Linked DNA regions of Saccharomyces cerevisiae S288C. Changing the gene in region 1 together with any one later gene gives a genetic interaction. Each region holds a gene or a part of one and is shown on either strand. Other genes may lie near its edges.

Region 1 (4,943 bases):
GGGTATGAATCACACGCACTCAGCCCAATCAAGACAGTGGGTTAATGGTTTAAGCTCATTAATAATGGATTTAAAACAAAAGAAGCAACTTGCACAAGATCAAATGTCGACAACGGGATCAAATTCAGCTGGCCATAAAAAAACCAATCACCGTCAAAAGAAGGATGACGTTAAACCTGAATTGGCTAACAAAAGTGTGGATGAGTTGTTAACATTTATAGAAGGCGATTCTTCCAACTCTAAGAGCAAAAACAAAACCAACAATAAAAAGAAGCATGGTAAGAAATAGAGAGCTAACTTAACAATCTCGTTTATTTATTATTTTTCTTTATATCTATAGCCCATACTTGTATATACTACGTGTAAGTACTAGATATAAAACGAAAAAAAAATACTTACAATTATTTTTTTTTCTTTACTGCTCTATTCTTTTCTTTATTCTATTCATAAATGCAAACAATTAGTTATGTAATTTTAAAAGTTGAAAATAATTGACTTTGTCAAAGAGTAATTAATTTTTCACAAATCATCATAAATGCAGGTATCAAAATATTGTCATTAAGCACACTATTACCTTCTAGCACTCCACTCAGTGTACAAAGGGTAAGCAATTGTAAAGTAGTTAGGTGGTTAAAAATTGCAGCTTTATCAAAACGTAACAATACCAAACAAACGATAAAACTCGTTACTATAAACGCAAGAGTTCCCTCTAAAGTTTTTTGTGTACCTTTCCAACGAATGCGGCCATACCTTTTACCAATAATAGATGCTAAGGAATCACCAATTCCCAATCCTATTAGACCCATTGGAGAGTTATTCATTAATAAAGGTGTTGATATTCCGAAGAGTAAATAAAGGTATGATATGATCAATGGCCCGCTGTGGTCCCTATCATCAGCAAACCTTCTTAGTTGTAATTCAATAGCAGATCCTAACGGCGGTAGGTTTTGAAATCTTATGTACTCAATTGATAAGAAGACTGGTATTGTTCCGGACAATGCAATTTTCACAAAGTTTGAATCCATTTGGAATGACGGTATTATGAGTAAGAAAATGATGAAATGCCACAATTTTCGGGAGGTGTTCAACGATAGACTGTCCTTCTCGATCAATATACTTGGTATGGACAGTATAAGAATTGAAGACCAAGCAAACAAAATCTTTTGACGAATAGTAGACTCTAAGATATATTTTACCAGCCAAAGTAGCGGATTTTCACCGTCTTCTAAATGAATGAAGGTATTGGCAAAAAGTGGAAGCCCGATGGCAAAGGATATTGACAGCATAAACGGTTTAAAGTGCATTACCTTTTTGAGCACATAGTTAATTGAAATTATTGTTGTGAGAGCAAGGATAATGCCCTTCAAAATTCTAAAATGTACTGTGCCAGCCTCTGAAACGTACAGAATATTGGTTAATAGGATACTAAAAAGATTAGAGTCGATATTATCTAAACTTTTCAATTGCCCAATATACTTCAAAATTAACGACAGTAAAGAATTTATTACTATGCTAATAATATTCTTTAACCTGTCACCAGCCTCAAAATTAAAAAATATGAGGCAGAGCTGTAAAATGATCACTACCAACTGAGTTCGCCATCTATATGAATTTAATACCGAAAGGATCAAAATAGTATTTATCACCGTAGATGATGTATCGAACAACAACGAAACCATAAACGGTAAATATAAACTGTAAATGGTATCGAACTTGGGTAGGCTTTTGTAACCATGTTGCCAATATTTTGTGAATATCAGACCAACCATTATCAAACACACCACAAAGACATTTACAAAGATTTGTTTATAAGATATATCAGCGGTAACAATGGACCACGGCTGAAGCCTTTCAACACAGTAAAAAAAAGTGCCCAACAATATAACAGTTTGAACAAAATTCGAATAAAAGCACTCAAAATCTCGAGAATTCCCGCCCACATCAAATTTACGAGTCCTCATATTGATTTTGCAGATCTCCTCAGTTGGCATTTGGCTTCCCTCAGTTTTCTGGGTTAGTTTAATTGTGGTAAAGGAAGCATGAGGTATTATAGCGACCATATAGGCAATGAACAGAATAACGACAGTTTATTGCCTCGAAAGGAGTCTGATTTACTAGCTAAATTCTAATATTTGGCTTACTACAAACTCTATCTTTCATAGAATACGTCCTTCGATACCATTTTCACCATCTTGACTAACAACGTGTACAACTCTTTTGAAAATTACGTGCCTGAAAACCCAACCATTGCGGACAGCCCTCAATAACGTATCTTAGCATTACCCGCACACCCATACATCTAGAACTTTTTTCATTTCTGAAAATTTTTTTTTCTTCTAGGATTACTTCGGGTATAAATAAGAGACGCAGAAATGGTTATTGGCAATTAATGCTTCCTCTCTTTAATAAGTTACAATATTAGAATCCTATGATTTCCATCACAAAGATCAATACAAAAGAAATATTCAGATGAGTGGGAGCTATGAAAGGCTGAGAGAGAAATTGAATCCATAAAACGTTTTTTTCCGTGTTCTTTTTTTCTTCTTTATCAAAGTTAGTTTTTCAGATATGTCTTTTGTCATTATCACAGGCTAATTATTCCCTTGATGACCAAAATAAATTTTTACAAACTAGAGTTTCTGAATCTTTTGTGATTAGAACGTTTATTCTTATTTCTGAGGTTTTTAATTAGCAATAAAGAAGAAAAAACTGAAAGGAAAAGTCTAAATAGAAATACAGTAGTATTTCTTCAATTTCTCTGCTCTCCTTTCATTTACCACACCCATTTCAATTTTCTTTTTATTCCATATTTATTCAAAGGTGTTTGTTCATATGATGATTATAACAAAAACAAAAGCTGGAATTACTGGCTGAACGAGTATATGTTGATACGTTTTTGCACTATCCTGACCTAGCAAACACCTTTAAAATAAATACTAGAAAGTTGACACATTTCCATAAATTGGAAGAATACATTTAAGCTTAGAAAACAGTAGTTTTTTAGTGCTATTCTTCCGTAGATTGATGTTTTCGATCTATTTGATACAATGGAAATGAGGATCCACAGCACTGGGCACTGAGGGGGAAACAAATATCCTTTCAAATGAGTGACAATGCTTTAGCGGGCCTAGAAAACCCGCGCAACTGATCCATTGTAAGTTTTTCTGAGGGCTAACAGAATTTTCTATAGGGAAGAATGGATTTTTTTCTCATTTTCGTATAATTATGTGAATTGGTTTTTATGATGAGATATTTATAGATGACGAGTCTGATCATTCGTGAAGACACAACTATTAAAATTACCATTCATGCCTTTCTGAAGCTGTTTACATTATTCTTTTCGATTAGCAAAGAATTTGGAAATAGAAAAAAATCGACAGATAACTAGTTCATCAGTTGATGTGTCTGTATTGCTTCCATGTTTTTTAAAGAAAATTTCTACCTTAGAGACGTCAATGCTGCAGAAGATGAAACAAATTACTCAAATAGACAAGCATATGTCTGATCTTCATGATTGAAAAGAGCAATTAGTGTCTGATGCAATTTAAACTAGAAAATTTATCTGAGAGAGATGAGAGATCGTACAAACTGTTTCAAGGTTTTTAACTTTTCTCCAATTTCAAAAATTGTTTATGATGATTTCCACATTTCACGACGGTCAACTGCGTTTTTCGAATGTTTATCGATTAACTTTGATGATATTTCGCCTGTGACAGGGCGTGGTACTGAGCTTTAATATTTTTAGCAAATTTAGAAATTGGGTCAAGCGAACCATTGTAATGCTGACTATTTGGACGACTCTAATCTCTTCAATATATTTGAGTTCAAATATATTAACTTGAGTAAATTTTCTCTTGCGTTAATTATAACTAATTGTGATGTGATGACAACTTCTTGAGCTATATATTTTCTTGAGAACATCAATGAAGAAAACGTCTCATCAAATGATTTGCACGTCAGTCTGATCACAAGCCATATAAAATTCTTTAAGTATTTTATCCATTCTACCTTTTTCATCTGTTAGTGATCGATTAAAGCAACACCCAGACATTACATGGCCCATATGGCAAAAATTTTCATCTCATCTACCTCATCACTGTGTGCATTTAGTGTATGAATGACTACTTTAAGCAATTTAACCAGTATATACGTATAAAGAGGTCAAGTGTACGGATAACCCAAAGGAAACATGCCTTCCGAATCATCCGTCTCTATCTACAAGCTTGATCAGTTGGAGTATCAGTACCATTATTTGACAAAATCATTACAGAAGTTTGAACCAAGATATCCAAAAACTGCCAAATTATACAATTGTATAGGTAAAAAGAACAAAAAGAAAATTGAAAAACTGTTAAACTCTTTAGAGTTGAAAACTTTGGACAAAGAACTAGATGAAAGTTACTCAAAGTTACTCAATAATAAGATTCACTATTACGAGACGCATTTATCAAAATGTATAAAAGAACAAATTCAGAAAATATCCAAAAAAAATTCTAGTAAAGTGAAGGATGCTCAAAAAAATAAATCACCCTCTATAGATATTGAAAAGATGCTTGCTACGCAGTTGTCATTAGATGATTTAGCACTCTTCATGACAAGATTTAGGCTGATCAAAATCTTACACCAGAGGATCAAACAAAAAAGCAAAAAGATTGAAGGTGATACGAATAATAAAACTTGGTTGAATAACAATGATTATAGTGGTTATATCAATGATAAGACAAGTAAGTGGAACCCAAGCAATATATGGAATGAAGTTATTACGAAGCTGCCAAGTTGTGAAAAGTTAAACGCACTAATTGGTCAAAGTAAAATCGTTCAAAATCTAACCGAATCATTCGATTTGAGTATTTGTCTCATATTTGGATTTGATGTAAGCGCTATGAAAGCAAAGAAGTATGGAGCAAGGGAGAAGACGGCCAATGCTAATCAGACGCACTCCA
Region 2 (4,392 bases), 370 kb from region 1:
GCAAAATAAAAGAGAATGTTACGGGACTAACAGGCGGATGTAAATTACTCACTTAAACGCAGCCAAACATCATCGAGAACTTAGGGTAGCGTGCCACAAAATTTGCATGAATAAACTTTTGTTTTCCTAATTCGACAGCATTCCCTTGTTCGCAACACTTCACTGATAGGAAATCGAATAGCGCACACTCTCTTCTGGGACATACCCCAATGCGGTAAAGCCACGAAAACACCGCGCGTAAAGGGGTAAACAAGTCCATTCCTACAACCTCTTGGAGAAATTCTTTACCTACTACAACCCCGCGCCTGATACTTTCAGTATTCATGACAACTCGAGCCAGATCCCGCTCGTGGGCGTGTTCATTCTGTGACGATCCACTAGCGACTTCTTTGTTCAGCCTGCAAGAGACGCGTTCAAGGAAGAATTCGCGATTTTACTTCTTCGAGGGAATCTCGCACCGCGTTAGTTAGTTTCCAACCTTGAAAGCATCGGAGACGCATTTTTGGCGATTTTGCTGGATTGAGCTGAATGGTGCCAGGTCGAGGCTGGGAGGGAGACTAACTCGAAAGTGACGAAGACTCGAAAATTAAAAAAAAAGATACTGCAGAAGGCAAGATTGAGAATGGAGTAAAGGCAGCGTGGGTCCCCTGTGGAAACCGCAGTTTTCCTGCGCCAAGTGGTACCGGTGCGAGTGCAGCAATTAATCTCTCGATATTTTCTTAGTATCTCTTTTTATATAAGAATATATTTTGGAATTGGTAATGCTTATCTTCAATAGTTTCTTAGTTGAATGCACACTTAAGAGCAAATTGGCCAAGGAGTTCTTCGTTCGCTTTAATTTATTTCCTGGTTATTGTCAATTTATTCATCCCATCTCCCCAGGATAGAAGAAATTAGTGTAATTTTGCTGACAATACATTTTAACGACGATAACAATAATAGCAATTAAATAAAATAGCACTACCACCACTCCACTGCTCGTTAGCTATTTCTGTAAAATAAATAAAAAGATCATGAACCACTCAGAAGTGAAAACTGGGTTAATTGTCACTGCAAAGCAGACATATTACCCAATTGAATTGTCCAATGCAGAACTACTAACTCATTACGAAACCATACAGGAATATCACGAGGAAATCTCTCAAAATGTGCTGGTCCAATCTTCCAAGACAAAACCAGACATAAAATTGATCGATCAGCAACCGGAGATGAATCCTCATCAAACTAGAGAAGCCATAGTAACATTTTTGTATCAACTTTCAGTGATGACTAGAGTAAGTAATGGTATCTTCTTCCACGCTGTCAGGTTCTACGATCGCTATTGCTCTAAGAGAGTAGTGTTAAAGGACCAAGCTAAACTAGTTGTAGGCACCTGCCTTTGGTTAGCGGCCAAAACTTGGGGAGGGTGCAACCATATTATAAACAACGTCTCCATCCCCACAGGTGGTAGGTTTTATGGTCCCAATCCTAGAGCTCGTATTCCACGCCTTTCTGAATTGGTTCATTATTGCGGCGGGTCCGATTTATTCGATGAATCAATGTTCATTCAAATGGAAAGACATATCTTGGATACTCTGAACTGGGACGTTTATGAGCCCATGATTAATGACTACATTTTAAACGTTGACGAAAATTGTTTGATACAATATGAACTTTACAAAAACCAGTTACAAAATAACAATAGCAACGGCAAAGAATGGTCCTGTAAGAGAAAGTCACAATCTTCTGACGACAGTGATGCCACAGTGGAAGAACATATCAGTAGTTCACCGCAAAGTACTGGACTAGATGGCGATACAACTACCATGGATGAAGATGAAGAACTAAATTCCAAAATTAAATTGATAAATTTGAAAAGATTCTTAATTGATCTGAGCTGTTGGCAATACAACTTGCTTAAATTCGAATTATACGAAATATGCAATGGTATGTTTTCTATAATAAACAAATTCACTAATCAAGATCAAGGCCCTTTTCTCTCTATGCCCATTGGTAATGATATAAACTCAAACACTCAAACGCAGGTATTCAGCATTATCATCAATGGCATAGTCAATTCTCCCCCATCTTTAGTCGAAGTTTATAAGGAGCAATATGGTATAGTACCTTTCATATTACAAGTAAAAGATTATAACTTGGAATTACAAAAGAAACTGCAACTGGCCTCTACAATAGACCTAACCAGAAAAATTGCTGTCAATTCTCGTTACTTTGACCAAAATGCCTCTTCATCATCAGTTTCTTCTCCAAGCACATATTCTTCGGGAACCAATTATACTCCAATGCGAAACTTCAGTGCACAATCAGACAACAGTGTTTTCAGTACTACCAACATTGACCATTCATCGCCGATCACCCCTCACATGTACACTTTTAATCAGTTTAAAAACGAAAGTGCTTGTGACAGTGCCATAAGCGTAAGCAGTCTACCTAATCAAACCCAAAATGGTAACATGCCATTATCAAGCAATTATCAGAATATGATGCTAGAAGAAAGGAATAAAGAGAATAGAATTCCCAACTCATCATCCGCTGAAATACCACAACGTGCCAAATTTATGACGACTGGTATATTCCAGAACACAGGAGAACTTACTAATAGAGCGTCTTCGATATCGCTATCGTTAAGGAACCACAATAGCTCTCAACTGTGACCATTTTCTCATCAAGCCTACATATATACTTAATTAATAACGGAATACTACGCTTTTCCATCGTAAGTAATAATGACATTCATACTTGACATTTTAATACCAGATAATTTTAATGCCCACCTACAAACATCTAGCCTCAATATTCTTCACCTGAAACCAGCTGAATAGTAATATACCAATATTCTTTCAACGATTGATATAATTATCATCATGAACGGAAAAGATGACGCGATTTTCCAGTATTTTTTTCTTCCTTTCGTTCTAACGTTTGCGGTAAGCAAAGGAGAGTAGTAATTAGCAAACAGTTATAAATAGAAAGCCTCTCTAAGATTATAGATATATAGTCATACTAAAGCTTGAGATCTCATCTTTTTCGAGAACCTACCGGCATATTAAACTGAAGTAAGACATCATTCTGAGGAAAGGATCGGTATTATAACCATTATTATTTGTTGCACTTTATTACTATGTGGTCGAAAAAGTTTACATTAAAAAAGCTAATCTTAGGCGGGTATTTGTTTGCTCAAAAGGTCTATTGTGAAGACGAAAGTAACTCTATATACGGTACCTGGTCATCTAAATCAAATCAAGTGTTCACGGGACCGGGGTTTTATGATCCCGTAGATGAACTATTGATAGAACCTTCATTGCCCGGGCTTAGCTATTCGTTCACTGAAGATGGTTGGTACGAAGAAGCTACTTACCAGGTAAGTGGCAATCCTCGTAACCCAACTTGCCCCATGGCTTCGTTGATTTATCAGCATGGTACATATAACATTTCAGAAAACGGTACGTTAGTTCTGAATCCTATTGAAGTTGACGGTAGACAACTATTCAGCGACCCATGCAATGATGACGGAGTTTCGACTTATTCTAGATATAACCAAACAGAAACTTTCAAGGAATATGCCGTAGGTATAGATCCTTACCATGGTATTTACACCCTGCAATTGTACCAATATGATGGTACTCCAATGCAACCACTATATTTGGCTTATAGACCACCAATGATGCTTCCAACAGAAACTTTGAACCCAACATCGTCAGCGACCAGCACTGACGACCCATCCTCTAATAAGAAAAGATCACTGAGAAGTTTAGTGAGGAGGAGCCTGGAAAACAGACACAAGACGAATGCCATTAAAAGACAAAATACCTCATTTTTAACCTCCAATGCCATTTGGTATATTTCTGCGGGTATGCTAGGTGTAGGTTCATTATTATTTTTAGCATTTTAGGCGCACTACAGGGATACTTATTCAACCAATGGGGGAAAGAGGCCCCATGTGGCCTTCAAATAAATATTAAAAACTATAAACATATAAGGCAAAACAACTTTATCAGGCGAGAAAGAGAAGCAAGAATAGGTGTAATTTTATGCACCCAAGGAATTGATTGTAATCATATTATTAAATAAGGTGGATGAATAAAAGATTTTCAAACCAGTTTTTCCGAGATAGTTAATTATGTACGAGTGACAAATGGGATATCAATCAATGAACACAATCAAAACACCTTATTATGACTTTCTTGTTATATTCTTATATACATAACCAACATTTAAATGTCAATTTCTTCAGTTTCTAGCCCGCAGTCTGTACATCTTCTTCTTTGAATTTGATAACCGTCTTCATCAATACCTCCATCAACTGGATCACTAAAATGATGAATATGGGCTTTCCCATGCTTCTTTTCTCTTAATCTATTAGTATATTCTTGAGCTCTTGTTTTCAGTCGC

What was found.
Region 2: of SEC59 (region 1) and ROT1, extra expression of one rescues a mutant of the other (dosage rescue), as found in Saccharomyces cerevisiae (one study listed by BioGRID).

Annotation. Positions count from the first base shown.
Region 1 is NC_001145.3:294,679-299,621, forward strand, and holds SEC59 (dolichol kinase), read right to left. Parts: upstream 2,061-4,943; coding exon 501-2,060; downstream 1-500. Other genes in the region: translation initiation factor 3 subunit CLU1, read left to right, coding at 1-289; BUD22 (Bud22p), read left to right, coding at 4,190-4,943. UniProt on the Saccharomyces cerevisiae protein: Catalyzes CTP-mediated phosphorylation of dolichol, the terminal step in de novo dolichyl monophosphate (Dol-P) biosynthesis. Dol-P is a lipid carrier essential for the synthesis of N-linked and O-linked oligosaccharides and for GPI anchors.
Region 2 is NC_001145.3:661,631-666,022, forward strand, and holds ROT1 (Rot1p), read left to right. Parts: upstream 1-3,121; coding exon 3,122-3,892; downstream 3,893-4,392. Other genes in the region: cyclin CLN1, read left to right, coding at 1,014-2,654; DNA repair protein RAD14, read right to left, coding at 4,215-4,392. UniProt on the Saccharomyces cerevisiae protein: Required for normal levels of the cell wall 1,6-beta-glucan. Involved in a protein folding machinery chaperoning proteins acting in various physiological processes including cell wall synthesis and lysis of autophagic bodies.